Linked DNA regions of Xenopus tropicalis. The protein of the gene in region 1 interacts with the protein of each later gene in a pairwise test. Links are inferred from orthologs where the notes say so. Each region holds a gene or a part of one and is shown on either strand. Other genes may lie near its edges. The genes, in order: cdkn2d and nr4a2.

Region 1 (16,775 bases):
CCGATGCTGAAGGTCGGAGATAAGAGCAAGGTAGGTAATAACAGGGACGTGACCTGCTTTAAGGGCTAGGTGTATAGGTAGGGAGCCAGAGGCATCAGGTGTGTTGATCTCCGCTCCATGCTGGACCAAAACTTGTAAGGTGTCCAGGAATCCGCAACGGGCTGCATCATGAGCAGGGGTGGTGCCGTATGCATCTTGAATATTAGGAGAGGCACCTTGTTTCAAAAGCTCTGATGCAACAGGGGTGCTGCCAAACATCATGACCTAGAGAGAAAGAATGAGTGTGAAAAAGGGTTAAGCTTACAGAGGAAAGGAGAGCAAGAAGGAGGAGCAAAGGCAACAGAGGGGGGTATTAAATTATGTAAAAGAAAGGTCATATGGTTATGGGGAGAAGAGATTGTAAAAGGAATGTTAGAATAAAAAGGGAAGAAAGTAAAACAATAAATAAAAACAATTGCCTACAAAGTAAGAGAAAATAAATCATTCCGAGCTCACTTTACGAATACACAGATATTTACTGCAACACAGTGACACTGTACCCGTGCCTTAATTAACCCCTGGCTGCTGGGCGTGGGGCATAATTTGTTGTTCAGTCGCGCACACACCCTTAGTACAGGGAGTGGTCACCCAACAGAAGAGCACAAGCAAATAATAAGGAATGCCCCACCCTGCAGAAACCTTTCAACTTCACCGAGGACAAGGCAAATTTGGCACAGGCTTGCAAACACATATGGATTTACAGGGCCACTCAAGCTGAAACTCACGTTACTCTGGTGAAAAAGAACACTTTATACTAAGTCACAGTTTCTTTTGTATGAGGAACAATATCTGCAATGAAATGGAACTGCCTGTAAACTGCCAATGCTTTTATTCCAGCTGGATATCAGGTGGCCAGACTAGTGAATCTTTATCGGATTCACTAGCCCTCAGACTTACAGTTGGGCCTAGAGAGATCCACTGTTAGAGGATTGCATCTCTGTAACAACTAGGTCCTCGTCCTTCAATTCTGGTCAGGCAGGCTGTTGGGAAGGCCCCATCCATGGGTCAATAAGCTGACAATTTCTATCAGCCCATGTATGACCACATTACTTGGTAAGATCTGGTCGGCAAGCGAGCTAATCTTCTCCCGATATCCAGATGGCCAGTATTGGGCTAATTCAAGCATTTGGCACTGGGGCCAAACAACTGAATTAGAGCAGCAGGTATAGGCGCCCGTTGGTTCGGGGACCACATCAACGAGACAAAAAAATCAAACCTACCCGATTGAGATATGCCCGATTTCAGGCATATCGGGCATGCCCGTCGTTAGTGCCCATACACGGGCTGATATGCTGCCGAATCAGTCTAAAGGACGATACCGGCAGGTAGAATCGCCCATGTATGGCCACCTTAAGCCTTTATTAATAAAGACAGAACCAGCATCCTCAGCATATTTTGTTTTTCAAGCAAGATGTGCCAGATCCTTGTGCCTCTGGGACTGGGCTGCTTGTACTCTGCAAGTATTCAGTGCACCTATTCAGAGCTGTTATATTAAGTTACTTCTTAATTGCTTTTCCTACTTCATTCTGTGAGTCACTAGGAATATAAAAAGATGCAACCAGAGCTCAGCCTGCAAGGAGCAAATTCAGTAATGAAGTTAAATTGAGAGCTTCAGCTCTTCATAATCCATGTTAGGGGCCCTTAACCTGTTCTAAATCAGTTAAATCCCTCATAAGACAAATTCCCTATATAAAAGATGATTTCCCAGTATGTTGGGAAATGACCTTGTGTGGCCATACTTCTCTCTCTCACCTGCAGAGCAGTTTTGCCAAAGCGGTTTAGGCAGTCAGGGTGGATCCTCTCTTCATGGAGAAGCCTCTTCACTTCTAATAGGTCTCCCCTGGCAGCCGCTCGTGTCAGGCGGTCTCCGGCGCTGGTCTCTTGTAGCAACATGAGGGAGAGCTGCAAGATCAAAAAGGAAGAATGAAATAAACGAATCAAAAGAATGGGAAATTATCAGCAAACTATAAAGGAGTACTAACAGGATAGCAACCTACAGGTGGGTGATATCGGGCTAATTTGATCTGATATCAGGCTAATTCGATCGTTTGGCCCTAGGGCGGTGCCGCCAGCTCAGAGACCGTATCAACGAGCTGATGTGGTCCCCAATCCAACGGTAAAATCAAACCTGCCCTATCGAGATCTGGCTGATTTTAGCCCAGATGTCGGTCGGGGAGGCCCATCGGTGGTGTCCATACATGGGCAGATAAGCTGCTGAAATGGGTTTGACAATGCCCTGACACTTACAAGAAAGCTAAGATTCTGTGTGTTACTGACAGATAACTGACAGGTTACAATCAGGCATGTGAGAGACAGGCAATTACAGGCAGATAATAGACAGCTAGCCATGGCCTCATGGCCAAAAATCACCCAACTTGTGTGGGCACATGGAGTAAAGATCTGGCTGTTTGACAAGGGGCTTGCAACGTGTATGGCCACCTAAGCTGTCTCACCTGTCTGAATGGCTATTCAGACAGGTGAGACAGCTTAGGTGGCCATACACGTTGCAAGCCCCTTGTCAAACAGCCAGATCTTTACCCCATGTGCCCACACAAGTTGGGTGATTTTTGGCTAATTTGATTAATCTCCTCTAGCAGAGGCGACTGATTGCCTCAAATGCTTTCCTACCGATGAGAATGTAGATTACTCGTAGGAAAACGTGTGGCAACTTCGGGTGACTTCAGGAAGTCGAAGTGACATATGTTTTCCTACCGGCAATTTACATTTGATGAGATTAGTCGCCACTGCTAGAGTAGATGGAGCTACTAGTAGCAGCTACTTGTCACAGCTACTAAAATAGACAAAGCTGATCATTTATTCATAACTGTCTCTACGTGTGTTTTACCAGAGGCAATTCTCAGTGTTGTCTATGGCAGGGGATTTTCTGGCGTTTAGTAGCCTTGACAAGTAGCTGCTACTAAGTAGCTCAGTGTGTCTTCACACACAAGCTTCTGCTTCCTTTCTTCCATCTGCCCAAGTAAATCCACACATGCAAAGAAGCCATGTTCTATGAACACAACATACCAATTCCTTGTGCTTTACTATCTATTTAAAGGGGCTGTTCACCTTTGAGTTAACTTTTTGTATAATCAAAAGTGTCATATTCTGAGACAATTTGCAATTGGTCTTCATTTTTTCATTATTTGCATTTTTTTTTTAGTTATTACACTTTTTGTTCAGCAGCTCTTCAGTTTGGAGTTTAAGTGGTTTAAGTGAGAGACTGGTATATAAATAGGCGAGGATTTAAACGGAAAAGAAAGTTATTAACAATAACAATAAAACTGTAGCCTCACAGAGCAATAGATTTTTTGGCTGCCGGGGTCGGTGACCCCCATCTGAAAGCTGCAACGCGTTAGAAGATGAAGGCAAATAGTTTAAAAACTATAAAATAATAAATAATGAAGACCAATTCAAAAGTTGCTTAGAATAGGCCATTATATAACATACTAAATAAATGTTTACCACCCCTTTAAGAAAGAAGACCACAAATGATAAATAGGAGCATAATCTTAACCTCTCTCTTTGATTTGGCTGCACTTCATGTTGCCAGTAAACACACAGCACGACGACGGAGATAGAAGAGAAATACTACACCTTGTTGTTGTACCTTCATAACCTAGCAACACGCATATTTATAATCAATAACCTACACAGAGATACTAGTAGCAGCTACTAAAATAGACAATACTGATTATTTACTGATAATTATCGTGTGTTTCAGCAGAGGCAATTCTCTGTATTGTCTATGGCAGGGGATTTTCTGGCATTTAGTAGCTGTGAAAAAGTAGCTGCTACTAGGAGCTGTGTGTCTTCACCCTAAGGGTATTTTTTGAGCCCTAATTGTCACAGCTCCCACTGACACCCCCTATATCTTGACACGATATTGTAAAGAAAAACAAGGAAACAACTGCTGCACTTGAAGCAGTGACAAACAAGCAGACGGGGTGTAGAGAGCCCAACATGGGTCAGCGCCAAGTAATGCACAAACACACACACCTTGAAAAGATTCAAGTCTCTTTAGCACAGCTGTCACCTGTTAAGTAGCACCAAACCAATAACAAACAGAGGCTGAAGATAGTATGTGAGCTTATTGTTTGGATGAGTCACTAGTTACCAGTACTGGCCAATTTGGCCACTAGTCTCTGTATCCAACCTGGCCAGTCATCAGCCTATTTACCTGTGGGATCAAACAGGCCCTGAAGTTGGCCTATAAGTGCGTCTCTGTGGCTGAATAATAAGCAATAAAGTACATAAATACATAACCAGCTCATGAGACCAGACAGAGAATGTTTTCACTGGGTTTTAAGGTGCCCATACACGTTAAGATCCACTCGCTTGGTGAGGTCGCCAAGGGAGCTGATCTTCTCGCGATATCCCCATCTACGGGTGGGTGATATCGGGTGAATTCAGGCTAATTCGAATTAGAATGCCGGTAATAGGTGCAATCGGTTCGGGGACCACATCAACGAGCCAATGCGGTCCCTGATCCGACTGAATTTTTTAACCCAATCGATATATCTGCCCGATTTCAGGCCAGATGTCGGTCGGCATGCCTGTCGTTTGTGCCCCTAAACGTGTATGGTTAGGCACAGATCTAAGGAAACGAGGAGGCTCTGTTACCACAAAAAGATAATTAAGTGACAGTTACCTGAAACAATGAAACACAATGAATCTACCAACATTCAGTTGCAAAAAGTAACAGAAGAAATGTGCTCAATATAGTCATAATACCTACTTGACATACAGAATAGCAACACCAAGGGACACTCTATTATCTTACATCAGGCAGTGCACTGAGTGCCAAGCCAAGATGCTCAGAATCAATCTAAGATAGCATCAAATGCTCCACCCTGGCCTACTTTCAGGCTTAGAGCTCTAATGTCAGCCCAAAGTAAAAAGCTCTGCTCCGATGGGACCTTACTAACTAACCTTGCAAGTACCGCTATAGCTCTACATGTATAGGCCTACGATACATTGAGAGCACAGAAGGGGCAACAAACAGAGCAAATATATATATATATCTTGATAAAGGTCTTAGGTGGAGACCGAAACGTTGATCTGTTTTATCAGTATGATACAATAAAAGTCATGTTTTATATTTAAAACCCTGGTGTGCACCTTATACTTCTGGATTTGTGGATAATTGGATACACGGAGGTAGCACCTAGGTAATTTGCATTTATATGTTTGGTGTGCTGAAACTCTTTTGGACTGTATATATATATATATATATATATATATATATATACAGATACAGTTAAAATGATTAGGTGGTATGAGAAACAGGAGGAAGAAGCATAGAATATCAGCATGGCAGCATAAGGAGGTACAAGTGGAGAGAGGTAGTGAGATCCTTTGGCTAATGAGGAGCCATGATACAACATTAATGTGTGGAAAGGTGGGTTCTTTCTTAAGTCAGAGCAAGAGAATTCAAGAAGAGGAACGGACGGCTGAAAGGGTTAAAGGTAGGAGTCTGGGAGCCATTTAGGTTCCAGTAGTCTTACAGCAGCCCCTCTGGCATTTGCCTGAACCCACAGATTGCCAGTCCGGGCCTGATTTTCAGTACACAGAGGCCCAAACAGCCCCCCCATAGGCCCAATAAATAGTGTGTGTCTATGGCACCTTACAGCAGCCCCTCTGGCATTTGCCTGAACCCACAGATTGCCAGTCCGGGCCTGATTTTCAGTACACAGAGGCCCAAACAGCCCCCCCAGCAGCCCAATAAATAGTGAGTGTCTATGGCATCTTACAGCAGCCCCTCTGGCATTTGCCTGAACCCACAGATTTCCAGTCCGGGCCTGATTTTCAGTACACAGAGGCCCAAACAGCCCCCCCATAGGCCCAATAAATAGTGAGTGTCTATGGCACCTTACAGCAGCCCCTCAGGCATTTGCCAGAACCCACAGATTGCCAGTCCGGGCCTGATTTTCAGTACCCAGAGGCCCAAACAGCCCCCCCATAGGCCCAATAAATAGTGACTGTCTATGGCACCTTACAGCAGCCCCTCTGGCATTTGCCTGAACCCACAGATTGCCAGTCCGGGCCTGATTTTCAGTACACAGAGGCCCAAACAGCCCCCCATAGGCCCAATAAATAGTGAGTGTCTATGGCACCTTACAGCAGCCCCTCTGGCATTTGCTTGAACCCACAGACCAAGGCCTGGATAGGATACAGGCACGCAGGAAGGAAACAGTGACGGGCTGTGAGATGGGAATAATATAATCACAGAGGGAAAGCAGAGAGTGAAGGTTCCCCCGGGACACTGTGCCAAATCAGCAGGGTTACAGAGAGTGTCGCCAGGAATAATCACTAAAGCGGAACTAGGGCCAAGTTTTGGTAACTGAGATGCCACACAGCTTTTTTCATACCACTGGCTACTCTCAATATCCTGTGACAGGTACATACAGTGGGACATGTAAGTGACAGGGAGAGGCAGTGGGGTGTGGGTGGCAGGAGAATACAGGGGGGTGTCAGTAACGGGGCAGGTAGAGGGGGATGTCAGTAACGGGGCAGGTAGAGGGGGATGTCAGTAACGGGGCAGGTAGAGGGGGATGTCAGTAACGGGGCAGGTAGAGGGGGATGTCAGTAACGGGGCAGGTAGAGGGGGATGTCAGTAACGGGGCAGGTAGAGGGGGATGTCAGTAACGGGGCAGGTAGAGGGGGATGTCAGTAACGGGGCAGGTAGAGGCGGGGGATGTCAGTAACGGGGCAGGTACAGGGGGATGTCAGTAACGGGGCAGGTACAGGGGGATGTCAGTAACGGGGCAGGTAGAGGCGGGGGATGTCAGTAACGGGGCAGGTACAGGGGGATGTCAGAGAGAAGAAATACAATGAGATATCAGTGATAGGATACAGTAGGATTTCTGTGATGGGGATTTAGTGAAAGGGACACAGAATAAGATGTCACAGACGGGGGGGCACAGTGACACAGAATAAGATGTGAGTGACAGGGGATACAGGGAGGGGTCAGTGACAGGGGGATACAGGGAGGGGTCGGTGACAGGGGGATACAGGGAGGGGTCGGTGACAGGGGGATACAAGGAGGGACAGGGGGATACAGGGAGGGGTCGGGGACAGGGGGATACAGGGAGGGGACAGGGGATACAGGGAGGGGTCGGTGACAGGGGGATACAGGGAGGGGTCGGTGACAGGGGGATACAGGGAGGGGTCGGTGACAGGGGGATACAGGGAGGGGACAGGGGGATACAGGGAGGGGACAGGGGGATACAGGGAGGGGTCGGGGACAGGGGGATACAGGGAGGGGTCGGGGACAGGGGGATACAGGGAGGGGACAGGGGGATACAGGGAGGGGTTGGTGACAGGGGGATACAGGGAGGGGACAGGGGGATACAGGGAGGGGTTGGTGACAGGGGGATACAGGGAGGGGACAGGGGGATACAGGGAGGGGACAGGGGGATACAGGGAGGGGGTTGGGTGACAGGGGGATACAGGGAGGGGACAGGGGGGATACAGGGAGGGGACAGGGGGGATACAGGGAGGGGACAGGGGACAGGGGGGACGGGGGATACAGGGAGGGGTCGGGGGGATACAGGGAGGGGTCGGGGGATACAGGGAGGGGACAGGGGATTACAGGGAGGGGTTGGTGACAGGGGGATACAGGGAGGGGACAGGGGATACAGGGAGGGGTTGGTGACAGGGGGATACAGGGAGGGGACAGGGGATACAGGGAGGGGTCGGGGGGATTACAGGGAGGGGTCGGGGACAGGGGGATACAGGGAGGGGACAGGGGATACAGGGAGGGGTCGGGGGGATACAGGGAGGGGTTGGTGACAGGGGGATCCAGGGAGGGGACAGGGGGATACAGGGAGGGGACAGGGGGATACAGGGAGGGGACAGGGGGATACAGGGAGGGGTTGGTGACAGGGGGATACAGGGAGGGGACAGGGGGATACAGGGAGGGGACGGGGGGATACAGGGAGGGGACGGGGGGATACAGGGAGGGGACGGGGGGATACAGGGAGGGGTTGGTGACAGGGGGATACAGGGAGGGGACAGGGGGATACAGGGAGGGGACAGGGGGATACAGGGAGGGGTTGGTGACAGGGGATACAGGGAGGGGTTGGTGACAGGGGATACAGGGAGGGGACAGGGGGATACAGGGAGGGGTTGGTGACAGGGGGATACAGGGAGGGGACAGGGGGATACAGGGAGGGGACGGGGGGATACAGGGAGGGGACGGGGGGATACAGGGAGGGGACGGGGGGATACAGGGAGGGGACGGGGGGATACAGGAGGGGTCGGGGACAGGGGGATACAGGGAGGGGTCGGGGGGATACAGGGAGGGGTCGGGGGATACAGGGAGGGGTCGGGGGGATACAGGGAGGGGACAGGGGGATACAGGGAGGGGTCGGGGACAGGGGGATACAGGGAGGGGACAGGGGGATACAGGGAGGGGTCGGGGACAGGGGGATACAGGGAGGGGACAGGGGGATACAGGGAGGGGTCGGGGGGATACAGGGAGGGTCGGGGGGATACAGGGAGGGGTCGGGGGGAGGGAGAATACAAAGTGATAGAAGTCAATGGCAGTCACAACACGGAGAAGGAGGGCCGCGCCAGTTCGGTGCCAGTCAGGGGAACGTTCCCCAGACACACACAGAGCGGCTTCCGTTACTGTTGCAGCCGGTGACAGATGATGTTGCTGCTCCCCAGCCGGCTCCCCCTGCCACACACAGAGCCCCCACCTTACCCACCTTATATACCCGCCTTCCCGCGCTGACACAGGTGCTGAACACGTGACCCGCTGCCCGGCAGGTGAGAGACGCGCAGTCAGAACCTTCAACGGGCGCAGTCCGAGTCGCGGCGGATCGCAGCCTGTCGCTTGTTTTCGGCCTCTGACGTCACCGCCCCACGTGGTACGCGTGTTATTTTTTTTAAAAAAGGCAACTGTTGTGCCGTCGTCTCTTTGTGCCCATTGGTTTTGCCGGACGCCGAGGCCCCGCCTCCTTGGCCATTCCAGCCAATAGAAATGACAGCTGCCAGAGGGGCTCGCCGTTGCTAGGCGGTAACCCGCAGACTGACGCAGAGTATGCAACCAATAGAAAAAAAAAGAGAGGAATGGGTGGGTCTTGAGAGAAATTTTAAAAAGGAGGGGCGGGGCTACTAGCGGTTCTGTGTGTGAGGTGAGGGGGTCAGGCTGGAGTCAGCAGTACGGTAACCTTAGCTTCACCTCCGGCGGGACGTGCTGTTTGTGTTTAAATGCAGCCTCTGCTTCCTATAGGCAGCCTGTACCGTCCCATGGGGTGAGTGTCAGTGTGAGTGTGTCAGTGTGAGTGTGTCAGTGTGAGTGTGTCAGTGTGAGTGTGTCAGTGTGAGTGTGTCAGTGTGTGAGTGTGAGTGTGTCAGTGTGTGAGTGTGTCAGTGTGTGAGTGTGTCAGTGTGTGAGTGTGTCAGTGTGAGTGTGTCAGTGTGAGTGTGTCAGTGTGAGTGTGTCAGTGTGTGTGAGTGTCAGTGTGTGTGAGTGTCAGTGTGTGTGAGTGTCAGTGTGTGTGAGTGTCAGTGTGTGTGAGTGTCAGTGTGTGTGAGTGTCAGTGTGTGTGAGTGTGTCAGTGTGTGTGAGTGTGTCAGTGTGAGTGTGTCAGTGTGAGTGTGTCAGTGTGTGTGAGTGTCAGTGTGTGTGAGTGTGTCAGTGTGTGTGAGTGTGTCAGTGTGAGTGTGTCAGTGTGTGTGAGTGTCAGTGTGTGTGAGTGTGTCAGTGTGTGTGAGTGTGTCAGTGTGAGTGTGTCAGTGTGTGTGAGTGTCAGTGTGTGTGAGTGTGTCAGTGTGTGTGAGTGTGTCAGTGTGTGTGAGTGTCAGTGTGTGTGAGTGTCAGTGTGTGTGAGTGTCAGTGTGTGTGAGTGTCAGTGGTGTGTGAGTGTCAGTGTGTGTGAGTGTCAGTGTGTTGTGAGTGTCAGTGTGTGTGAGTGTCAGTGTGTGTGAGTGTCAGTGTGAGTGTCAGTGTGTGTGAGTGTCAGTGTGTGTGAGTGTCAGTGTGTGTGAGTGTCAGTGTGTGTGAGTGTCAGTGTGTGTGAGTGTCAGTGTGTGTGAGTGTCAGTGTGTGTGAGTGTCAGTGTGTGTGAGTGTCAGTGTGTGTGAGTGTCAGTGTGTGTGAGTGTCAGTGTGTGTGAGTGTCAGTGTGTGTGAGTGTCAGTGTGTGTGAGTGTCAGTGTGTGTGAGTGTCAGTGTGTGTGAGTGTCAGTGTGTGTGAGTGTCAGTGTGTGTGAGTGTCAGTGTGTGTGAGTGTCAGTGTGTGTGAGTGTCAGTGTGTGTGAGTGTCAGTGTGTGTGAGTGTCAGTGTGTGTGAGTGTCAGTGTGTGTGAGTGTGTGTGTGAGTGTGTGTGTGAGTGTGTGTGTGAGTGTGTGTGTGAGTGTGTGTGTGAGTGTGTGTGTGAGTGTGTGTGTGAGTGTGAGTGTGAGTGTGTGTGTGTGTGTGTGTGTGTGTGTGTGTGTGTGGTGTGTGTGTATACAGGGAATACTACATGGCAGCTCCCTCAGCGCAGACACAGCCAACAGGGCAAGATGGAGGCAGAGATGCTTTATGTTAGTAACCTAGTCTCCTCTCCCATGTATAGCGCAAGGGCATCAGGGATACTGGGAGCTGCTGTTAAACAGTACGTTTGGCCCCATTGCCCTCAATCTAAAGCTGCCCATACACCTACTGATAAAGTTGCATGAAACTTGGGCCGGTGTGTGGGCTCTGAATGGCCGATCGCTCGTTTAGCTGATACCGCAGGTTATAGAATTCCCATCTGATAAGGATAAAATCTCCGTGTGTATCTGATTATATCCTTGGGGGCCATTAATGGGAGTCATTTTCGTACGGTCGGTGTCTGCCAACTAATTCATGTTCCGAACATCCTCCCATTTGTTATTCTTTATCAGGGTCAGACTGGGGGTGTCCCTGCCGGCCACTTCCCCCACAGAGCCTCCCTAACTCCCATCCACAGGGGCCCCCACAGAGCCTCCCTAACTCCCATCCTCAGGGGCCCCCACAGAGCCTCCCTAACCCCCATCCACAGGGGCCCCCACAGAGCCTCCCTAACCCCCATCCACAGGGGCCCCCACAGAGCCTCCCTAACTCCCATCCACAGGGGCCCCCACAGAGCCTCCCTAACCCCCATCCACAGGGGCCCCCACAGAGCCTCCCTAACCCCCATCCTCAGGGGCCCCCACAGAGCCTCCCTAACTCCTATCCGTAGGGGCCCCCACAGAGCCTCCCTAACTCCCATCCGTAGGGGCCCCCACAGAGCCTCCCTAACTCCCATCCTCAGGGGCCCCCACAGAGCCTCCCTAACTCCCATCCGTAGGGGCCCCCACAGAGCCTCCCTAACTCCCATCCGTAGGGGCCCCCACAGAGCCTCCCTAACTCCCATCCTCAGGGGCCCCCACAGAGCCTCCCTAACCCCCATCCGCAGGGGCCCCCACAGAGCCTCCCTAACCCCCATCATCAGGGGCCCCCACAGAGCCTCCCTAACCCCCATCCGCAGGGGCCCCCACAGAGCCTCCCTAACCCCCATCCGCAGGGGCCCCCACAGAGCCTCCCTAACCCCCATCCGTATCTGATTATATCCTTGGGGGCCATTAATGGGAGTCACTTTCGTACGGTCGGTGTCTGCCAACTAATTCATGTTCCGAACATCCTCCCATTTGTTATTCTTTATCAGGGTCAGACTGGGGGTGTCCCTGCCGGCCACTTCCCCCACAGAGCCTCCCTAACTCCCATCCACAGGGGCCCCCACAGAGCCTCCCTAACCCCCATCCTCAGGGGCCCCCACAGAGCCTCCCTAACCCCCATCCACAGGGGCCCCCACAGAGCCTCCCTAACCCCCATCCTCAGGGGCCCCCACAGAGCCTCCCTAACTCCTATCCGTAGGGGCCCCCACAGAGCCTCCCTAACTCCCATCCGTAGGGGCCCCCACAGAGCCTCCCTAACCCCCATCCTCAGGGGCCCCCACAGAGCCTCCCTAACTCCCATCCGTAGGGGCCCCCACAGAGCCTCCCTAACTCCCATCCTCAGGGGCCCCCACAGAGCCTCCCTAACCCCCATCCTCAGGGGCCCCCACAGAGCCTCCCTAACCCCCATCCGCAGGGGCCCCCACAGAGCCTCCCTAACCCCCATCCTCAGGGGCCCCCACAGAGCCTCCCTAACCCCCATCCGCAGGGGCCCCCACAGAGCCTCCCTAACCCCCATCCGCAGGGGCCCCCACAGAGCCTCCCTAACCCCCATCCGCAGGGGCCCCCACAGAGCCTCCCTAACCCCCATCCGCAGGGGCCCCCACAGAGCCTCCCTAACCCCCATCCTCAGGGGCCCCCACAGAGCCTCCCTAACTCCCATCCGTAGGGGCCCCCACAGAGCCTCCCTAACCCCCATCCGCAGGGGCCCCCACAGAGCCTCCCTAACCCCCATCCGCAGGGGCCCCCACAGAGCCTCCCTAACCCCCATCCGCAGGGGCCCCCACAGAGCCTCCCTAACCCCCATCCGCAGGGGCCCCCACAGAGCCTCCCTAACCCCCATCCTCAGGGGCCCCCACAGAGCCTCCCTAACTCCCATCCGTAGGGGCCCCCACAGAGCCTCCCTAACTCCCATCCACAGGGGCCCCCACAGAGCCTCCCTAACCCCCATCCTCAGGGGCCCCCACAGAGTCTCCCTAACCCCCATCCTCAGGGGCCCCCACAGAGTCTCCCTTACCCCCCCAGGCACCCCCACCCGACGTCCTCTCCTGAGCGCGTATAAGTTTAACGCATCAGGGCAGGAACGCTCGGCCGGGGGGGGGGCGGCAAGGGTAGGGACCCACCGGGTGTTTTCCTGGCGGCCCAGTTCGACCCTGGGCTTTATCCTGCAATTTCAGTCTGAATGTGAGTGTTAGATCATTGCATTTGTGTATGGGCAGCTTAAAGCATTTATAGCAGGGTTGCTGGGAGTTGCTGTATGTATGTATGTATATATGTATGTATGTATGCATGTATGTCTTTATTTATAAAGTGCTACTTATGTACGCAGCGCTGTACAGTAGAATCCATTAATACAAACAGGGGGTTAAGATAATAATAGATAAATACAAAGTATAACAATAAATACAGATAAATACAAGGTACAGTTGCAATAAGAGTTAAAGACACAAGAGGAAGGAGGTCCCTGCCCCGTAGAGCTTACAATCTATATGTTTGACATCTGTTTAACCCCATGGCTTGGCAACTTATCTAAAGCGACAGTGACTCTGCCAATACAGTTGCCCTGTGCCCCTTGGCTTCGTACTATCAGGGCTGCCCTGTTGTCCCTCTTCATCGGATTTATCTGCCATTATCTGTATTTTCAGCATGAGTCACGCCAGTTGTTGTTTGGATTCGCGGCACGGGGTCAAAGAGTCAGCGCACACGGAACATGACAGACGACTAGATGCCATCTCATTCTCTCCAGTCACACCCAATTTTTTAAATTCTCATGGAGTCACAGCAGGTGAGCCCCGACCTCAGACATCTCAGTCTCACATCTGTTGTTGGTTTGTTACAACCCCCCCCCCATTATACAAGATCTCTGCCGTTGGACTAGAAATGTTCTACTCTATACATGGCCTTACCGTAAAGTTTATAGGAATTCTATTGTGCATGTTAAATTTAACATGTAGGATGAAGCCACACAGAGCTACTTAGTAGCAGCTACTTGTCACGGCTACTAAACGCCAGAAAATACCCTGCCATAAAGAATACTGAGAATTGCCTCTGCTAAAACACACATAGAAACCATTATCAGTAAATGATGAGTATTGTCTGTTTTTGTAGCTGTGACAAGTAGCTGCTACTAGTAGCTCCATCTCTTTAGGGCAGTGGTACACGGGGAGATTAGTCGCCCGAAGCTTCCTCTTAAGACAACTTTGGCGACTACGGGATATCACAGCAACCTGTATGCCATCCCACCAGGGATTTACATTCTAGCCGGAGGGATGGCATTGCTGGGAGATTAGTCGCCCGCGACAACGAAGATTTGTTCTGGGGTGACTAATCTCCCTGTTAACCACTTACCCTTCCTATGACTAAGACATTTATATTCTGAGACAATTTGCAATTGGTTTCCATTTTGTTTTCTGGTTGCTAGGGTCTTGTTTACCTTAGCAACCAGGTAGTGGGTTGAATGAGAGACTGGAACATGCCTTTCTGTTCTGTATGGTATAATTGGTTGTTTCACAGTGGTACAGATTTACATTCTATAGGAGGGGCCCCTCTCTAACTGCGGCTTTATTGTGTTTTTATGGGATAGGGACGTCTTTAATTAATTGCTATGATGCTGAAGAATAAAAATTTTTTTTTTTTCATTTTTGTGTTTACATTACTTTGGAGTGAAAGTTCCAAGTTTTAACCTTGTGGTTTATGGTTTTAATATTTGTTTGGTTCTAACTGATCTGGACAGGGCCGCCATCAGGGGGGGTACAGGGGGGACAATGGTCCTGGGCCCAGGCGATCTTTACCTTTAAAGGGGGCCCAGCCGTGCTACAGCTTTTTGACTAGCTTGGGCCCCCTTTAAACTATTACGGGCCCTGTCATCCATATGCAATCCGATTGGTCGTGCCCCGTGCATACGTGTGACCTCAGTACGCACGGGGCGCAACCTTATAAAAGGGCCTGTCTAATGGGGGCATAGAGTTAGGGGGCCCTGTGTATGGGGGCAATTGGGAGCCCTATCTTTGGGGGGCACACTGACCAGCAATGTAAGGGGGAGCTCTGGGCACCAATGTATTGGGGGCACACTGATGGGAGGGGCTCAGAAAATGTTGTTGTGAGGAGCCCCATAATTTCTGATGGTGGCCCTGGATCTGGTTGCCTCTTGGCTCCGCCCGAGACCCCTAGCTCCTCCCCACACCCTATCACGTTCCCTGCTCGGCTGCTTCGGAGTATTTCGGGTGATGTCTCTAAGGATTCGGCTGCAAATTACTGACCGCTAGGTTTGCCTGGTTTTGAACCCGATAGCCTGGTTTTTCGAAGGAGCTTTTCAGTTCAAAACTTTCTGCACAGTTTTCAAAATTAAGAAAAAGGGACAGAATGGTAATGTCACTGCCCAGCCCCATCATAATCTGTCCCGCCTTTAGGCTAATTCGGTGGTTTGGCCCCGGGGCAAAACGATCGAATTAGAACAACGGTAATAGGTGCAGTCAGTTCGGGGACCAAATCAATGAGCCGTTGCGGTCCCCGATCTGACTACATTTTTTAATCTGTCCGATCGATATCTGGCTGAATCCAGGCCACATGTCGGTTGGGCAGGCCCGTCGGTAGTGCTCATACCTGGGCCAATTAGCTGCCGAATTGGTCTAAGCGACTGATACCGGCAGCCAGAATCGGCCCGTGTATGGGGACCTTTAGCTATCCCACTGGTGATTACAGGGGTGATCATTGCTATGCTGGGGTAGAGTAGGCAAGATGGGGACAACCATGAGTTGAAACAGTGACTTGTATTTTGAAAATAGGGTTTAGTTGCCCTTTAACACCAATATAGAATAAGCAGCAGAATGAAAATGTGAAGAGGGTTAATGTCGTCGGAAGGTAGCTTGAGTCTAGTGAGTTCTGAAGCCACCGACGGCTCATTACTCCCGAGTAGTGACGCCTCCAGTTTTGCACGGATGGCATGAAGGCACGCTGACAAGCAAGGGGAAAAATGTATTTAAACAAATAATAAAGCCTCTACTCTAAATAGTATTTATAACAAAGTAAATGTAAACGAATGACAAATTGAAGCCCCAAACAAATCAAAACCCGTACCAAATAAATATAAAGGTCTGGGTGTGAACACCCCAGACCTAGCGCAGTTGTGAAAAAACTCTAGGGGGCCCCAATGGAAATTTGTAATTAATGCAGAATCAGAAAAAGCTCACCAGAGTCCACAGTTGGTCCGGGTGCTCAGGGCCCCGAACCCGTAGCTGAAGGGAGAAGTTATATCATATACAGTTGAGCTCCAAACATCTCCGGACACGACATGCTGCTAAAACCAGGTCTTTATTGTTCCATCTAAAAACTAGACGCCTGACATGTTTCGTGCGCGAACGCACTTACTCATAGGCATACACATACAACAGTAGGAGGGTTTAAATAGTGTCATAAGCAATTAAACATGCAAATTAAGACATCAATACATACACCCCCATCAGTAAAAAAGCACACATAGTGGAATCTGGAACCTGTATAAATCAAAACAGTAGGCTATATTTACAAGGCCAATCATTTAAAGAAGACTTTTTTTTGTAAAATACATATGTAGAATACATCCAATTAATCCAAGTAAACTGTTCAATACATCAATATCAATAAATATAGTAAAAAGTAAATAATATTAATTTAATACATGAATGGCAACATTAAATGTTAGAAATTCTTTTATGTACAAATAAATAGACTCATAAATTCAAACATAGCAGCTAATGTCAAAAATAGAATTGAGGCCATTAGGATGTCGTGTATCAAGAGTAAATATCCATTTGACTTCAGAACGTAAGAGCCTAGCATATAAGTCACTGCGCCTTGCATCAGGAAGAATTTTATCTATGACTTGAATGTGCAAAAACGATACATCAGATTGGCAACATTGTAAAAAGTGTCTAGCCACGGGACTGTTGCTACTTCTAGCAGCTATATGTCTAATGTGTTCCCTCATCCTGCTCTTAAGGGAGCGTGTTGTACAGCCAACATATTGAATGCTACATCTTGAACAGGTTAAAAGATACACAACATATCGCGTATTACAGTTGGCATAAAAA
Region 2 (17,131 bases), on another chromosome or scaffold:
GATGGGGCTGTGATATTATTTGTAATTTTAAATTCATATACACACAACTCATTATATATAATAAGATTTTACAGATTTGTTCCTAGTTTGTTTGTTTAAAAATAATGCAGAAAGGAAGGCTGAAAATGGTATAAGAGGGAAAATGCTCTGATTTTCTTTTGTTTTAATGCGAGGAGATACCAAAAAAAAATAAACATACTAGAGGTTATGGCAATATAACAAATTTTACTGAAACATGAAATAATATATTAACTGACATATTTAAGACATTAAAAAAATGTCAAAGTGCTCAGTCATTTCCAGGCAGTTGTTGCATGTGTGCACTCTGGAAACCGTTTGAAGCAAGTCTGCATGCAAGTTTCGCCTTGGACAAGAAAATAATTCAAGATATAAAGTTTTTTGTCATTTTTTTCCCAACATCAACAGTACATACAACACTTACAAACAAGGAATGTTGGACGGTGTTACAAACACTATGTAATCCCTCTGTTCTGGGTATATTACAGCTGAGAAAAATGGGAACCTCGCCTAACTACCAATTCTTTATAAAATCTAACAGACTACATAGTGTCTGAATACTATTTATATAATATAGACATTACTGAAATAGCAATTGCCTATAGCATTTCTTTCCCCGACCTAGTAGGTATAAACATGCTCCCCTTTCAGTCAGATAACTGTTTTTTCTTTTTTTTTTTTCTTCTTTTTTTAGGTTTTTTTTTTCTTTTATTTAATTTTATTTCTTTGTATCTGGTTTTGCAAACACAGCTTTTAGAATCGGTTTAATATTTATTCATAAATAGGCACAATATCATTAAAAATAGCTAAAACTGTGTATCTTATACATATACAAGCCTTTGCCTTCTGTCATGCCATCCACTTAACATAGAGTTAAACAAATTTATTACAAGCTTTCTTTTACAACAGAAAACTGTCAGTCGCCCCCCCCCCAACTCCCCTCTCCCTCCTTCAGAAATGGGGGGGTGGTATGGGTGGGCACCTTAATACTTTGTCTCAATGAATTCTTTTCTTTGCGCTAGTAGTTATTCAGCAGTCGTCGATTTAGAGAAAAAAGAAACGATTGATGGCAGCCGATAAGTAATAACCAAACAAAAAACAAAGAAACAAAAATAAGTTGGGAAGAAGTGTCTTGTTCCTATTGGTGAATCCATGCCAGCCGCTGCTGTGCCCCGAATCCCTCAGCAATTGGCAGAGGTGCCAGGGTAGTCCGCTGGCATATTTTTTGGCACACAAGCTGAAGCTGTTACCATGTCCTACAGCCAGGTAATGTTCTCTTTAGAGTTTAATCAAACCAGTCTTTAAAACGGTAATGTGTCCAGAAACAATTTGTCAATGATGGCAGGTGGAGGTACCAAGTCTTCCAGCTTCAGGTAGAATATGCGTTGCAGTCCTTGGGTGCACAAAGTGCGAAGTTCAGGCAGTTTCCCTAAGAGTTTGGAAAGGTAATTGGGCCGATTTAACCCCCCATTATTAAAAGTCACATGGTCTTTGAGGCAGTTTACAATTTTATTCTGGAGTTCTTCTACTCTTTTTGGTTCTTTCAATCCGTGTCTCTCTGTAAAAAATTATATATCAAACATGAATGACTCTTTATTAATTACATAGTTAACGCGTCACGTATCGCGCAATGCGCAACTTAAAAATACGCGTTTGGATCGCAGATACTGACCTGTAATCACGGCCAGGGCTGCAATACAGGAGAACGCTGATATATCTATGTTCATGCTGTGCAAGTTGGAAGAAAAGTCCACGATGGAATCTATCCATTCTCCAAAACCACGAACACACTGCAGTCTGTTGAGTACAACCCCATTGCAGAAGATGAGTTTACCCTCTGCTGGGTTAGACCTGCAATTAATAAAGAGAGGGGGGGGGGGGAGAAAAAAAAACTAATTAGTGTGGGAAGAATAAATGTCCATTTAAATGCCTCCTAATTATTACAGAGACAATAAAATGCAAATCAATTGACCTTGAAAGAAGGGGAGCAGATATAACAATTAAGCCCCTAATCTGGTAATTACCTGTATGCCAGTCGCAAGACAAAAAGTTCCAGGAAAGCAGACTCAAAGAGCAGGTCTTGGTCCTGTTTGTGCAGCTCAGAGAATCCTGGGATCTTCTCTGCCCAACCTCTAATGATCTCCATGGAACCGGTCAGCAGATCATAAAACTGTTGGATGTGTTGTGTATCGTCTCCATTCATCTGATACTCTGGGTTAGCCTGAAACTAAAGATGGAGAGGGAAGATTCTTAATGAGGTTTTCCAAAATATATAACCCGTGAAATTGCTAACCTTGTTACACCAAGAGAGATTTGTTTGGGAACAATTAAAAATGCCTGTGACCAGCAGGAAAATAAGGTGCCCATTGCAATTAACTCAGCCATGGATGGAGCCATAAGGTCTGCGCTTGCTTTATAAATCTCTAATGCCACACACGCAAGTAGAATTTACAACGATTTTGCCTGTAATTAAACAGAAGGGGGTGACTGACACACACACAGGCCTGGGCAGATCTACCGGGCATGTTCGGAAAGGGTTAATGCAAACCCAGTTATTAGTGTAAATTCACTTGGGCAGAAAGTAGGAATAGGTGTGAATTTCCAAGGAAAATAACTGTTAGCGCAGGATTCCCAGTGTATGATGAAAGGGTACACAGAAAGGGTCAATGGGATTTTAAGAGTTAATCGGAATTTACAATATTGTTGCACGAATAGATGGTGGGAAGGGTGCTGCAAAATCGTGGATTCGATTTACCCAATTGCAAAAGGAACAGTGAAAGGAATATACTCAGCATATCCCCTAGCGCTGCACTGTATGTACTATGTATGTACTGTAGAGCAACGCCCTGTGCAAGAGCATTACTGATACTAGGAGTAAGAGAGGGTTCATCACATGTCATTTACATTAATTAGTCCACTGACCCGTGTAAATGCCGGAAAGTAAACAGTAAAGTCGTGATGTAGAATGCACTAGTTGTACGTTGGGCAGTGGGGAGATATAAGGCGCACAGTGCAACAGTGAGGAGACAGATGCACAGGAAATATTAGTACAACGCCATTGGGTCACTGATACTATAAAGGCTCAAAGACATGTACGAAGTACAGTGCATGCTGTGCGCTAACATTGGAATCATACACAGGGAAAAAGCTCGTCCATTAGTGCAGCACTTGATTTTGTAAGGCGCAAAGGCAGAAGGGTAGCAGATTCTGCAAACTACACAAATAATACACCGTAGCAAAGTCCACATGGAAATAAAGCATAATACATGCATACCTAATACTGCGCAAAACCTTGCGCAATGGCGATAAAGATTACATAAAAGAGAGTGGCTAACTGGCTATGTGGCTATACCTTTGCTCAGCACAGTTTGCCCCCTAAGATATAATGCCTTGGGGGATGTACAGGATGCATTGGTTTGTATCAGTTTAGCATTATGGGGGTGGCATCTGGCAGCTTCGAGGCAGGGAAGCGCCCCCACCTTACTTACTCCATCGCAAAGCAGCGCACACCCCCGCACTGTGCTTATACCTACTGCTCCCAGGCAGGGCAGTGTCCTCCCCAGTCCCAACACTACACCCAGACTTACTCCCAGGCAGGGAATCTGCTCCCCAGTCCCAACACTACACCCAGACTTACTCCCAGGCAGGGAATCTGCTCCCCAGTCCCAACACTACACCCAGACTTACTCCCAGGCAGGGCAGTGTCCTCCCCAGTCCCAACACTACACCCAGACTTACTCCCAGGCAGGGCTGTGTGCTCCCCAGTCCCAACACTACACCTAGACTTACTCCCAGGCAGGGCAGTGTGCTCCCCAGTCCCAACACTACACCCAGACTTACTCCCAGGCAGGGAATCTGCTCCCCAGTCCCAACACTACACCCAGACTTACTCCCAGGCAGGACAGTGTGCTCCCCAGTCCCAACACTACACCCAGACTTACTCCCAGGCAGGGAATCTGCTCCCCAGTCCCAACACTACACCCAGACTTACTCCCAGGCAGGGAAGTGTGCTCCCCAGTGCCAACACTACACCCAGACTTACTCCCAGGCAGGACAGTGTGCTCCCCAGTCCCAACACTACACCCAGACTTACTCCCAGGCAGGGCAGTGTGCTCCCCAGTCCCAGCATAACACCCAGACTTACTCCCAGAAAGAGCAATGTGCTCCCTAATCCCAACACTACACCCAGACTTGCTGCCAGGCAGGGAATTTGCTCCCAAGTCCCAGCATTACACCCAGACTTACTCCCAGGCAGGGCAGTGTGCTCCCTAATCCCAGCATTACACCCAGACTTACTCCCAGGCAGGGCAGTGTGCTCCCTAATCCCAGCATTACACCCAGATTTACTCCCAGGCAGGGAATTTGCTCCCTAATCCCAGCATTACACCCAGATTTACTCCCAGGCAGGGCTGTGTGCTCCCTAATCCCAGCATTACACACAGACTTACTCCCAGGCAGGGCAGTGTGCTCCCTAATCCCAGCATTACACCCAGATTTACTCCCAGGCAGGGAATTTGCTCCCTAATCCCAGCATTACACCCAGACTTACTCCCAGGCAGGGCAGTGTGCTCCCTAACCCCAGCATTACACCCAGACTTACTCCCAGGCAGGGAAGTGTGCTCCCCAGTGCCAACACTACACCCAGACTTACTCCCAGGCAGGGCAGTGTGCTCCCCAGTCCCAGCATAACACCCAGACTTACTCCCAGGCAGGGAATTTGCTCCCTAATCCCAGCATTAACCCCAGACTTACTCCCAGGCAGGGCAGTGTGCTCCCTAATCCCAGCATTACACCCTGACTTACTCCCAGGCAGGGCAGTGTGCTCCCTAATCCCAGCATTACACCCAGATTTACTCCCAGGCAGGGCAGTGTGCTCCCCAGTCCCAGCATTACACCCAGACTTACTCCCAGGCAGGGCAGTGTGCTCCCCAGTCCCAGCATTACACCCAGATTTACTCCCAGGCAGGGCAGTGGGCTCCCTAATCCCAGCATTACACCCAGACTTACTCCCAGGCAGGGCAGTGGGCTCCCTAATCCCAGCATTACACCCAGACTTACTCCCAGGCAGGGCAGTGTGCTCCCCAGTCCCAGCATTACACCCAAACTTATACCCACGCAGGGAATGTGCTCCCAAGTTCCAACAAAAGACCCAGACATGCAGAGAACATGCTCCCAAGTCCTAACATTACACATAGACCAGCTCCCAAGCAGGGAAAAGTGCAACTATTGCTAACGGAGAAGTTCAAGGCCTGCAGATACCATCCATTCCAGATAGAACATAGCGCTTCCCAGCAGTGCAACCCCCAAGACAGTGAATGCACTTCCACACTATGGACTGAGCAGCCCAAGATCCGCAGGTCCCAGGCAAAGAGCTCCACCACCATGTACCCCAATACTGACCAAGAGCCACAGAATTCCCTTTTGCCAAGGCCCCCACTTACCCTAGAATAGTCCAGACTGCTCACTGCCGGATTGGAGTCGACGTGGGCTCTCACTAGTGCACTGATCAGACTCACTGGGGGACTGGGGGGCGATGGTTCCTGGGGACTCTTGGGCTTAGATGGCAAGCGACCCCTCCGACCTTTTAAACTGTCTGTGCGGACCACTGCAATGAAGACAAGAAACAGGGTGTTCAGGATTCAGTTCCCACTCACATTCTTTCCTCTCATTGTTACTCTCCCTCATTACAAAGGCAGCCTTGACTCCAGCTTGCGTGCCATGGACCCGGGACTCTGCCAGTCGCTGGCACGGAAATCTGAGTGTGTGTGTGAGATCGGTGGGGGCTGCCAGCCTCTGCTCCGCAAAAAGGTGGAAAAGGCCACTGTGTCTAAGCAGCGCCCAAACTCAAGTATAAAGTGTATGCCTCGAAAATCCTACAGAAAACAGTTTGGACTAGTAACGATTCTTGGTGTATGTGTGTGTTAATGTCGGCACGATTTGTTAGAGTCGCAGTGGCATAAAAGTGAGTGGCATAACGTTCCACACAATCTCATATTCATGCAATCAGTATGGCATATAAACATATAACGTGTGTACAATTGCAATATATCTGCTAGCTTTTCTGTCTCTTTAAATTTATCTATCTATCTATCTATCATCTATCTATCATCTATCGATCTGTCTTTTAAATCCAGACAGACGTCTGTGCGCCTGTTAACTCTCTCTTTTTCTCTCTCCCTGCATCTATCTTTTACTTAAACATCTATCTATCTATCTATCTATCTATCTATCTACCTACCTATCTATCTATCTATCTATCTATCTATCTATCTATCTATCATCTATCTATCTATCTATCTATCTATCTATCATCTATCTATCTATCGATCTGTCTTTTAAATCCAGACAGAAGTCTGTACGTCTGTTACCTCTCTCTTTTTCTCTCTTTTACTTTTTTTTTTTTACTATCATCTATCTATCATCTATCTATCATCTATCTATCATCACTGTCTCCGGCGGCCTATGTACATATAATAACCCAATGATGCATAAACATATTATCACCTATATGTTATCTAGTTAACAGCCTCTCAGGGTATCGATATATTATCTACCAATCACAATCATTTCCATCGATTATTACTAATCCGCGAATCTCCAATGTCCAAACCGCGGCCCTCCCGCTCTTTTTAATCTACATCTCCCAAAGGCTGATGGAATTTGTAGCTCCATCCCTACCTCCATATCAATTAGAAGTCATTAGCTTATGCTATTTACAGAAACCTATGCACAAACATATTACATACAGATATAAATACTATAATACATAGGCATTACGCAGTGCATGGGAATAACGCATTAGCGCGACATTTACCTTCTTTGACCATACCGACAACCAGACACTTCTGGAACCGGCAGTACTGACATCTATTCCTACGCCTTTTGTCCACCGGACAGTTCTTATTCGCTAAACAAACATATTTGGCATTTTTCTGCACTGTGCGCTGTAAGGGAAAGGAAGAGGGAATTAGACTCGTTTGTTACATTCTTTTTACACCCAGTGTCACAGAGCTGAGAATAAAATAAAAAGTCTGGAATTTATATCTTTTTTTTCTGTCTCTCTTTTTTTTTTTTTGTGCATGGCATTTAACAGAGGCAAATTGATAGCATTAACATTTCAGCTGTCCCTGGCAGCTCTTGGCTGGCTTTTTATATGCCAAGAGGAGAAAGGAGAAAGCGCTCAGTAAATACAAATCCGTGGGCATTCATATTATTTACAGCCCTTGGAGAATTCTCTATTTCCAATGATAAGATTATTCAATCAGGATGGTGAAATAAAGAGATCACTTAATTTCACCATAGGGAATTCTGTTCCACTTGGTTAGCTCAGACACGGTTCTCTGTCCTAACCAATTTATCTGAAGGGGAAGGCTGGGTAAAGTACATGCAAATACATTGCATGGAAAAATAAAGGTCCCATCGAGCGACTAGTTTGCCCAGTTGAAGCCTAGGAAGGGGGCACTGGGTATGAATTTTAAAATTTAACAAACACTATGATTAAATCAACAACCCTACATGGAGCTCAGCAGCCAACTCAGTTGGGTTCATGGTGGACAGTCCCACCAACTCATCACCAACGTGATGGCTTCAAGCAATTGTGTACTTACCTTGAAGAACCCTTTACATCCTTCACATGTACGAACTCCATAGTGTTGGCAAGCAGCGTTGTCCCCACAAACAGCACAGAGACCCTCGTTTGATGGAGACCCTCTAGAAGGCGGTGAAGGTACCTGGCTGTCTATTAGTTGCGACGCATGACCAAGCTGTAGCCCAGGGAAGCCCATAGATGCCTGTTTTCTGATGGGATTGGGGACTGCAAATGTCTGTCCGTCTATTACATGGTGGGCTCCTGAGGTTTCGGGGTTCATAGACACATGGTGGCCATCAAACCGCATCTGGCAACTAGACACAGGCGTTCCAGGTGGAGACTGTTTAAAAGAGAACAAGGAAAGCCTGGGGACATGACCTCCTCTGGTGGCCACATAGTTTTGATTGAAACTGTGCAGAGAGCCATGGTTATCCCACATTGGGCTGTGTTGGACAGGGAAACCGGGGGTACTGGAAGTGGGGGGCGATGAAGGTTTGTAGTAGACTGAGCCTGAATGGGACATCATCTCCTCGCTTTGGGGCGGTAGGTGGCCGTGCTGTTGGTAGCCGTGCATCTGTATATCTTCCACTTTTACAGAAGACTGCTGGCCGGAGAGGGGCATTTGGTACAAGCAAGGAGGCTTGACGTCGTAACTTGTGTTGTAGTTGTCCATAAAGGTACTAAAGCTGGGGAGAGAAGTGGTGGCAGTGATTTCAGTGTTGGTGAGGTCCATGCTAAACTTGACAAACTCTGGAGTTAAGAAATCGGAGCTGTATTCTCCTGAAGAGTGGTAAGTGTAGCTCTGGGAAGCTGGGCTGGCTCCTTGAGGCGATGACCCATACTGAGCCTGAACACAGGGCATGGCTGTAAATGAAACAATTGAATAGATACCCATACTGTTCAGTTGGATACTTCCCATCACCATTGTACCCCTCTTGCCGTCTACCCCACTGAGAACACCCCCGGTCTGTAACCCAACAGGACTTCAATCGCCCTAGAAATTGTTGCTCAAAATCTCAGCGCTTCCCTATGTAATTATTCCTTACAGACGATTACCATTAACGATAACCCCATACACTACCCTTGCCCAATTTAATCGCCCCCCCCCCCCCACCCACTACCCTTTTAGCCAATATAATTGCTCTCCACAAATAAAGGGACAAACCTTCTGCCGGGCTGTGGGGTTTTTCGATGTAGGTAAAGGAGGACAGTGTTGTATTTCTTGTCGGAACAAACTTTCCAAGATTAGAATCGTTCGATTTAGAAGAACCCAGCTTGTCAGCACGTTTATCTGAAAGAGAAATCGAGTTGGTCGGTTTATAGCTGCGACAATGCCCATTGTGACATCGCCAAGCCACAAACAGACGTTTAATTCTGCCATCGCTGGGGCTTTTTAAAAATGAGTATTTCAGCTGGGTAAAAACCACAACGTGGAATCTGCAGCGGGGGTGTGAAGGGAATTCTGTACAGGACAATAGCTATTACTAACTTTTCTTCTGTGCCTTTTCATTCTGTAAATCACAGAAAGGCATTCTGTTGAATCACAAGCACTTGCTTTAAGGTGTGTGCAGAATTTTTTTTTTTTTTTTTAGCTCTGGTCAGCAGATCAATGGCAGCATATCACGACAAGCCTTAAAAGTTTGACAGGCTAAGAATAAACGTCAGGTGTGTCTTGAGAAGGCCTCATATAAATCTGATTAATCAGATTTATTGCCATGACTTAGATATGGGCTGGCTAGTAGATAAGGCAACAATTTTTTTAGTTCAGTAACCTAAAATAACTCAGCTGGGGGGGGGGTATGCACAGTATACATGAATAGGACAATGTTATTAATAACACATGCAATGCATTAGGCAAAGAAGCACACAGGTGTATTATAAAATATAAATAATAGGTTCGTATTGATATCCATTGTACAGAATGAAGGGACAGTCTGGCCACTATATATAGTATAAAGTAATATCTAATTCTAACTATATGCTTATTAAATACCCTTCATTCAGACCATATCCCCTGACCAGCTGAGCGGAAATACCATTTGGAAATACCAAATATAGAAGCTTTTCCCAATACACCTGCTCAATAGAGATTGGTACTTCCAAGCCACAGCCTATAGCACCTATCTCAGATACAATAGAATAATGCAGTAAGCTGCACAGCCAAACTTTTTTTTCCTCCTTCCAAAAAGTGTTAGAGCCCCAGGCCCTCTCCAACGCAAGCAGTCATTACATTGGGCGCAAAGGTATAATGAATGGATGTATGAATGTTGTATATAACTAAAGGTAAGTTGTATGTATGTATGTATGTGTATGTATGTATGTGAGTGTATATATATATATATGTAATAAGTAGGTATAAGTAGTAGCTGTGCCCATAGTAGATGGCATTGGATAAAGTGTGCGGCAGGTAGGGAAGCGCAGAGGGAGTAAGAGAAGCCGAGGGCAGGCTGCAGGCAGGCGGGCACTTACTTGCAGTGCTGTGGGAGCGGCGCCTCTATGCATGCAGGCGGGTACACATCCCCTGAGCGGAGCGCTGATGTCCGTAAGTGCCGGAGCGCAGTGATACGGTCCCTCCAATGTGCCTTTGTTTATGTGGGCTCAGTATTCCAGCGCTATCATACACTACAAGCCTCAAGCGTCACCCGACGTCAGCAGCCTCCCGGCCAATCAGCGCCGACCGGGCTCCGCGCTGTTGGCTTTGGTAAATTTCCGTCGTGACGTCACGCAGCCAGCAGCCTTTAAGGTGGGAGCAGCGAGTCCGCTCGTCGCTTTCTATAGCGGCTTCCTACAGCCGGTAACCGGGTAACCCCCCGTGTGGAAGATGCGGGTGTGAGAGACTGGGGGGGGGGGGTAAGGGGGAGCTGGGCAGCGGCTGCTCGGCGTGTTTATACTGTATACAGTGCGAGTGTGGGAATGTACTGTATGTACACAATCCGCCGCTCTCACTACTCAGCCGCCACATGTTGTCACTGTCACTCCCAGAGCCGCCTGTATGGTCGGGAGCGGAGGGGTTTACCCTTTACCTTTATTTCAATGGTAGTAATACTGTATTGATACAGATCCCCAACCTGCAGCCCTGGGGCAGCTGTTCAACTGCATCTCTCACATCCCACATGCAATTGCATGGGGTGAAGACACATGGAGCTACTTGTCGTGGCTACTAAAATAGTGCTGATCGTTTGCTGGTAACTGTCTCTGTGTGCAGAAGCAGTTCTCAATATTGCCTATGGCAGGGTATTCTCTGGCATTATTATTATTATTATTATTAAAGGAACAGTAACACCAAAAAATAAAAGCTTTAAAGTAATAAATATAATGCACTGTTGCCCTGCACTGGTAAAACTGGTGTGTTTGCTACAGTAACACTACTATAATTTATATAATAAGCTGCTGTGTAGCCATGGGGGCAGCCATTCAAGCTGGGAAAAAGGAGAAAAGGCACAGGTTACATAGCAGATAACAGAAGTTCTGTAGAATACAATAGTGTTTTATCTGTTATCTGCTATGTGCCTGTGCCTTTTCTCCTTTGAATGGCTGCCCCCATGGCTACACAGCAGCTTATTTATATAAATTATAGTAGACTTTCTGAAGTAAACACACAACTTTTACCAGTGCAGGGCAGCAGCACATTATATTTTAGTTACTTTTATACACTTTCATTTTTTGGTGTTACTGTTCCTTTAACATTTATTTATAAAGCGCCAACATATTCCGCAGTGCTGTACAATAAGTGGGTTCCATACATTGGACATACAGAGTAACATATAAAGCAATCAGTAACCGATACAGGAGGTGAAGAGGGCCCTGCCCAAAAGAGCTTACAATCTACAAGCATTTAGTAGCAGTAAAAATGTAGCTGCTACTAGTAGTGTCTTCACCCTAAGGGTTGGAGTTGCAGATCAAAAACAGTGAAAGGGTTGTATTCTGCCCATCCATGATTTATATAATACCCCCAGACAGTGGCCCCTTATCCGTCCTGTATTGTCAAAGCCTCCTTTATTCTAAATTAGTTCTCCAATTATGTAGGTTTGTGTGTTGTTTATGATAATAAATTATTAACCCTCTGCCTTTCCCCCCACTAAAATTACAAATCAGACAGTTTTGATATTGATAGATCTCCAACCTGCAGCCCTGGGGCAGGTGTTCAACTGCATCTCTCACATCCTACGCAGAGTTGCATGGGGTGAAGACACATGGAGCTACTAGCAGCAGCTACTTGGCTACTAAAATAGACAGTGCTGATCATTTGCTGATAATTGTCCCTACGTGTGTTTAGCAGAAGCAATTCTCAATATTGCCTATGGCAGGGTATTCTCTGGCATTTAGTAGCTGTGAAAAAGTAGCTGCTACTAGTAGCTCTGTGTGTCTTCACCCTAAGGGTTGGAGTTGCAGATCAAAAACAGTGAAAGGGTTGTATTCTGGATATCCATGATTTATATAATACCCCCAGACAGTGGCCCCTTACCCTTCCTGTACTGTCAAAGCCCCCCTTTTTCTAGCTTTAATTAGTTCACCAATTATGTAGGTCTGTGTGCTGTTTATGATAATAAATTATTATCCCCTGCCCCCCCCCCCCCCCCACTACTGTCTTGTTAGACAGTAAAATTAGAAATCAGACAGTTTTTATACAGTAAATACACATATACACCCTATACCTAATTATTACATCTTTTTCCACAGGCACTGTGTAAAATCCTTACCATACTCCAGTGTCCTAACCCCCCCCAGCGGGGCATTCCGTTGTTTCCCTGGGTGACAAATTAATCTGGCTGGCCCAGCTAAAGCATCCAGGAGCCCTCACACCTCCTTTGTTTATGTAGGCTGGAGTGGAAGTGCCAATCATGGGGAGGTGGACTGGCTGGGGGGGGGAGTCAGTTTGTGGCAGTGCATAGACCTCAGTGGAAACAACAGAAATACACATTCTACTCCTGTTTTCTGCGGTGCAGATTTCCTGAAGAAGGTGAAGGGTTTTGCAGATTGGACTTGAAGAGGTGCTGCAGCAGCTGGCTCTGTACCGGGGCTCCATGATAGACAAGGGTGACTTTAATCCAGCTATATGCAACTTTCTGTTGTTATTGGCACGGGGAGGTGTTGGCTGTTTGGCTTAGAACTTTCACTAATAAAGGGATTATTTTATTTATGAAATATGTGTGTATTTAACGCCACTAACCTTCTTCTAATGTACTGCATTTGCTTGAGTCACCCAGCAGCAAAATTACATAACGTTTCCAAACACATATGCAGCGTGTATCCTATAATTAGCCATGTGGGTGACAGAATGATCTCTAGTGTGGCTTCCAAGCTTGCACTGTTTTATCTCTCTGCTACAAAAGGCTTTATAATATCCTGGATTTTCCCCCTACCAAGAGCTAAGCCCATCCAGGACCTCTGAGCTGCAGGCAGCAGGCAGGAATCCTCCTCTGTAGGAATAGAAGTGGCAGCTCCTACCCCCTCGGTGGATCCAGCTGTCTAATTCCTGCCTGCTGCTGGGATTGGCAGATCACGGGCTTTTTTGTGTAGTGTTAATAGAGCAGACGCTGTGTTATTCAGAATAAAACAAACCAGCACCAGACCTTGCTCCCGACAGCTCTCTGGGAGGCTAGTGAAGTGATAGCCTTTAATTGTGCCATTAAAAAGGAAGTGCCCTCTTGACATGCTCTGCTGAATGGGTATAAAAAATAACCCCCAAAATGATGGTTCAGATTTAAAATAAATACCAAAAAAATATACTATTATATCACTGTATTACTACTATATTACACATTAGTGAATCCTAGTGTATATATGTATATCCATATATAGATATATCTATATATATATGTATATTTATTATTTCATATTTATTTACTTGCCCTTTATATATATATATATATATATATCTCAAATATTCTATTATATCACTGTATTACTACTATATTACACATTAGTGAATATTTTTGCATTTACATTTTGCTTACAATTCTTTAAATCCTAGGAGTGCTGTCCTTGTTCCAGTGCATTTTTTTGGTACTAGCACCCAGGTTTTGTTGCTGCAAATGGTGTGCACCCTATGGACTATTTTTTATATTATATAAATATATATCTATACATATATATACATATATAAGCTCAATGGGGCAGGGACCTCCTTCCTACTGTGTCTCATACCACAGGTATTGACTTGTATCTGTATTTATATTTATTTATTCTATTAATTATGACACTTGTCCTCCCTGTGTGTAGCTGTATATATTGTAAGATTGTACAGCGCTGCATATTCATGTAGCGCTTTGTCAATAAAGTTATACATACATACACATTTATTATTTCATATTTATTTACTTGCCCTATATATAGTGTGAGTAAATAAATATGTATAAACCATTTGAAAGACAATTTAAGTGACTATCTAAGGATAACCAATAGGCAGCTCATGGTAATCTGTAGCTCTCAAAATCCCAACCAACAGCCTTTTGATACAGAGAGTTGTAGTTGAACATCAGCTGGCATTTAAACATCCCTGTATTTTTAAGAATTTTTCCTACTGTGACACTGGCAGCCGCTGGGCCTGCCAGCAAACAGTTAATATAGCAGTATTCTGCCTTCGGAACATTGAGTAGCACGTGTACAGAGGCAGGCCAAGCATGAGGAGAGGAAGTGAGTGTTTCCAGATTGTTTTGAGGCTGTTTGCTTAGGTGTTTTCTAATGATCCCATAATGAAACCTCTGCTCATTCACCATCCCCCAAGCTGGTAACACCAGGCACACAGGTTAATATAAATTTGTGAAATAAATTGGTTGCAATTCCCATGCAATCAGATTGGTTGAGCCAAGGGGGTCACTAAGGAAGCAGTAAGGAAGGAGAAAAATAACAGAATGAAAGATTGTTACGTCTTTCCTGGGATGGGGCAACCCTTGCCACACCCAGTGGGCAGTGGCCAGCCAGTACAAATGACAGTGACGGACCTGGCCAATTATCTTGTGTGACCGGGTTGAGGTTTGGCTTTTGCCAAGATCTATAAGAGCATATTGTCCTGGATTCCCGTGTTTTGGAGAGGGAGCACCATATGTTTTCCATAGACACTGGAGACAATGGCAGACCTTTTGTCACTTGCCCCAGTGAAAGTCAGATGGCTAATCTCATATCCGTCAAGTGCCAGAAGGGCAATGGAGAAGGCAGGGGTGAATTCTTATAATAAAATTAAATTTATTGTGACATTTGATCCATATATGTTTCATGATGATATCTCACCTGTTATTTACCATTTATTGACACCCAGACCCACTCATGGATTACTGCTATTTATCTAAAGCATTGCATTGTGGGTGTTATGAAGCCATAGATACAATGGGATCCAAATTCCCACCACCCTAGCCAGAGCTGCACTGGAAGGCTGTCTTGGATGATGAGTGTTTCAGTCCACCATTTTGGGCAGCCTTATTAATAACTCACCTTATTAATACCATCATTTCTTACTATTCTAGTATGCCACAATAGAGCTGGGTGAGTCTGCCTCAATACCATGGTCATTAATATCTACAAGGCTGATTAATGACTCCAATCAGACGATGACAACATTGATCTACAGATGCGGTCCCTCTTCCGGCAACTGAGTGGCTCTTGGTGTCTATGGCTACAGCTACTTTCTATGTAGAGCTACTACTGGCCACAGCAATGGCAAGCAAGATGCATTTGCCCACTGTGTAGATGGCTGCTCTTTCCCTTGTTGAACCCATCTTTTCCGCTTCTTTCAGTTGCCCGCAGTGGTTCAGGAGGGCAGAAAGAACTTTGTTTCATAAGGGTTGAATGTGCTAAGAAAGTACATATGAAATTGCAGAGCAAGACCAGGTTAATAAATGGATGCCCAGATCCTCGTGGGACTGGCAGCCAACAGGTGAACATTTAGACTAATGCGCTGGTTATTTTCTTGCAGCCCCATTTATGCCTCAGCCACACCATACAAAGCCATATATACAACTTAAGCCAAAATCAATATCTCCCCCCGAAGATATATCCGTAGTTCTATCTGCCATGTATCGTGCCTTTGGAAAGAGGAGTGCGTTTCTCTATTTAGCTGCTAATTATGATGTATGAAACACTGTTTCCGACAGAAAGCGCCGGCATCTAAATGAGAAAAAGTTAGGGTTATTAATACCTAGGATCAAAGGGCACAGAATGGATCATCAGGGAGTACTTGGAGGCTGCAGCACTCTCTCCGTGTTTCCCTCTGGCCGGTACAGGGCTGCGGAGTTAATACATATAGTGCAGATGCTGAGGGGGGTCATTAATGCTTAGCCTCATCTGCAGTGGAGTTTCGGGGTTTATATGATATGCATTTGTTATTGTTGGGTGTAAATATGCACAGCTTACCCCCTTTATATTAAGGGCATGTTAGCACCCCCATAGCCTATGTACCCACTGCTTCCTTTCCAGAGGATAAAACCTTGGACTCTGAAAATACCCATTGTGATGCAAAGAGTGTGTGTAATTAAGCACTTCTGATGCTGGCACCGCGGCAGTGTAATTATCCCAGCAATATCTCAATGTGCAAATGGTCGCAGGCGTAGCAGATGAGTACGACTCTCCTGGGTGCTGCACGGGAGAGGGATTAGCATAGGAGTGCAGCACTGCTAAGCATGTTCCCACTATATAAATATAAATACAACCAATAATAAGGTTCGACAGAAATATCCACCCTGCACCCAGCCAGCTGCTAACGAACTGCAACTCCCATCATAATCTTTGGAAATTGGATTCAGAGAGGGATTCTGGGAACTGTAGTTTAGGCATTTTGGCATGACGCCCATTTATTGCCATGCCTAGGGTACTTGTTACGGGGAAGACACACAGAGCTACTAGTAGCAGCTACTGTTTCACAGCTACTAAACGCCAGAAAATACCCTGCCATAGACAATACTGAGAATTGCTTCTGCTAAAACACATGTACAGACAATTATCAGTAAATGATCAGCATTGTCTGTTTTAGTAGCCACAACAAGTAGCTGCTACTAGTTGCTCTGTGTGTCTTCACCCTTAGAGCTGGTATCAGCAGTCATGTTACAATAGAGACAGTAGCAGCTTTTGAGGAGGGTGCAGAAACCTTATGCTGTGGGTGCTATTTTGTTAGTAGCCCTCCCATTATCAGAATTGCTGACTTTTTACTGTACTGCTTCCAAAAATTACTATACTGTGCATATGCCCAGCCCAGTTTGCCACAGGGCACACCTGGGAGTGTGAGAAAATGTATTTGCCATAGTGTGCAATAGGGCCACCATCAGTAATAATGGGGACCCATACTACTAAATTATCAAGGCCCTCCCCCCACACACAGCTGCCATTATTACCTGATCACATGGGTCCTATCAAGAAGTAAATTGGGGCCCCTATGAATTAAAAAAAAAAAAAAGTCCCTTGCGTGCACAGACATGCAACTATGCCAAAACGCAGCCCGTTATCAGCCCCACCCCTTTCGCCACTCGTGCCTTTCCATCTCAGGGCCCCCCCTTCACTATAGGTAAACGGTTACTGGGTTTGGCCACTGCGGGT

The links.
Region 2: the proteins of cdkn2d (region 1) and nr4a2 interact in binary tests that used the Homo sapiens proteins (3 or more experiments, as listed by UniProt). The two-hybrid records come from large-scale screens. The link is inferred for Xenopus tropicalis from reciprocal best matches to the Homo sapiens genes CDKN2D and NR4A2.

Annotation. Positions count from the first base shown.
Region 1 is NC_030679.2:138,203,639-138,220,413, forward strand, and holds the start of cdkn2d (cyclin-dependent kinase 4 inhibitor D), read right to left. Parts: upstream 8,979-16,775; 5' UTR 8,751-8,978; intron 1,942-8,750; 5' UTR 1,933-1,941; coding exon 1,792-1,932; intron 265-1,791; coding exon 1-264. UniProt on the Homo sapiens protein: Interacts strongly with CDK4 and CDK6 and inhibits them.
Region 2 is NC_030685.2:74,477,173-74,494,303, reverse strand, and holds nr4a2 (nuclear receptor subfamily 4 group A member 2), read right to left. Parts: upstream 10,118-17,131; 5' UTR 10,076-10,117; intron 8,898-10,075; 5' UTR 8,772-8,897; intron 8,471-8,771; 5' UTR 8,469-8,470; coding exon 7,626-8,468; intron 6,963-7,625; coding exon 6,833-6,962; intron 5,624-6,832; coding exon 5,460-5,623; intron 2,246-5,459; coding exon 2,043-2,245; intron 1,870-2,042; coding exon 1,691-1,869; intron 1,577-1,690; coding exon 1,320-1,576; 3' UTR 210-1,319; downstream 1-209. UniProt on the Homo sapiens protein: Transcriptional regulator which is important for the differentiation and maintenance of meso-diencephalic dopaminergic (mdDA) neurons during development.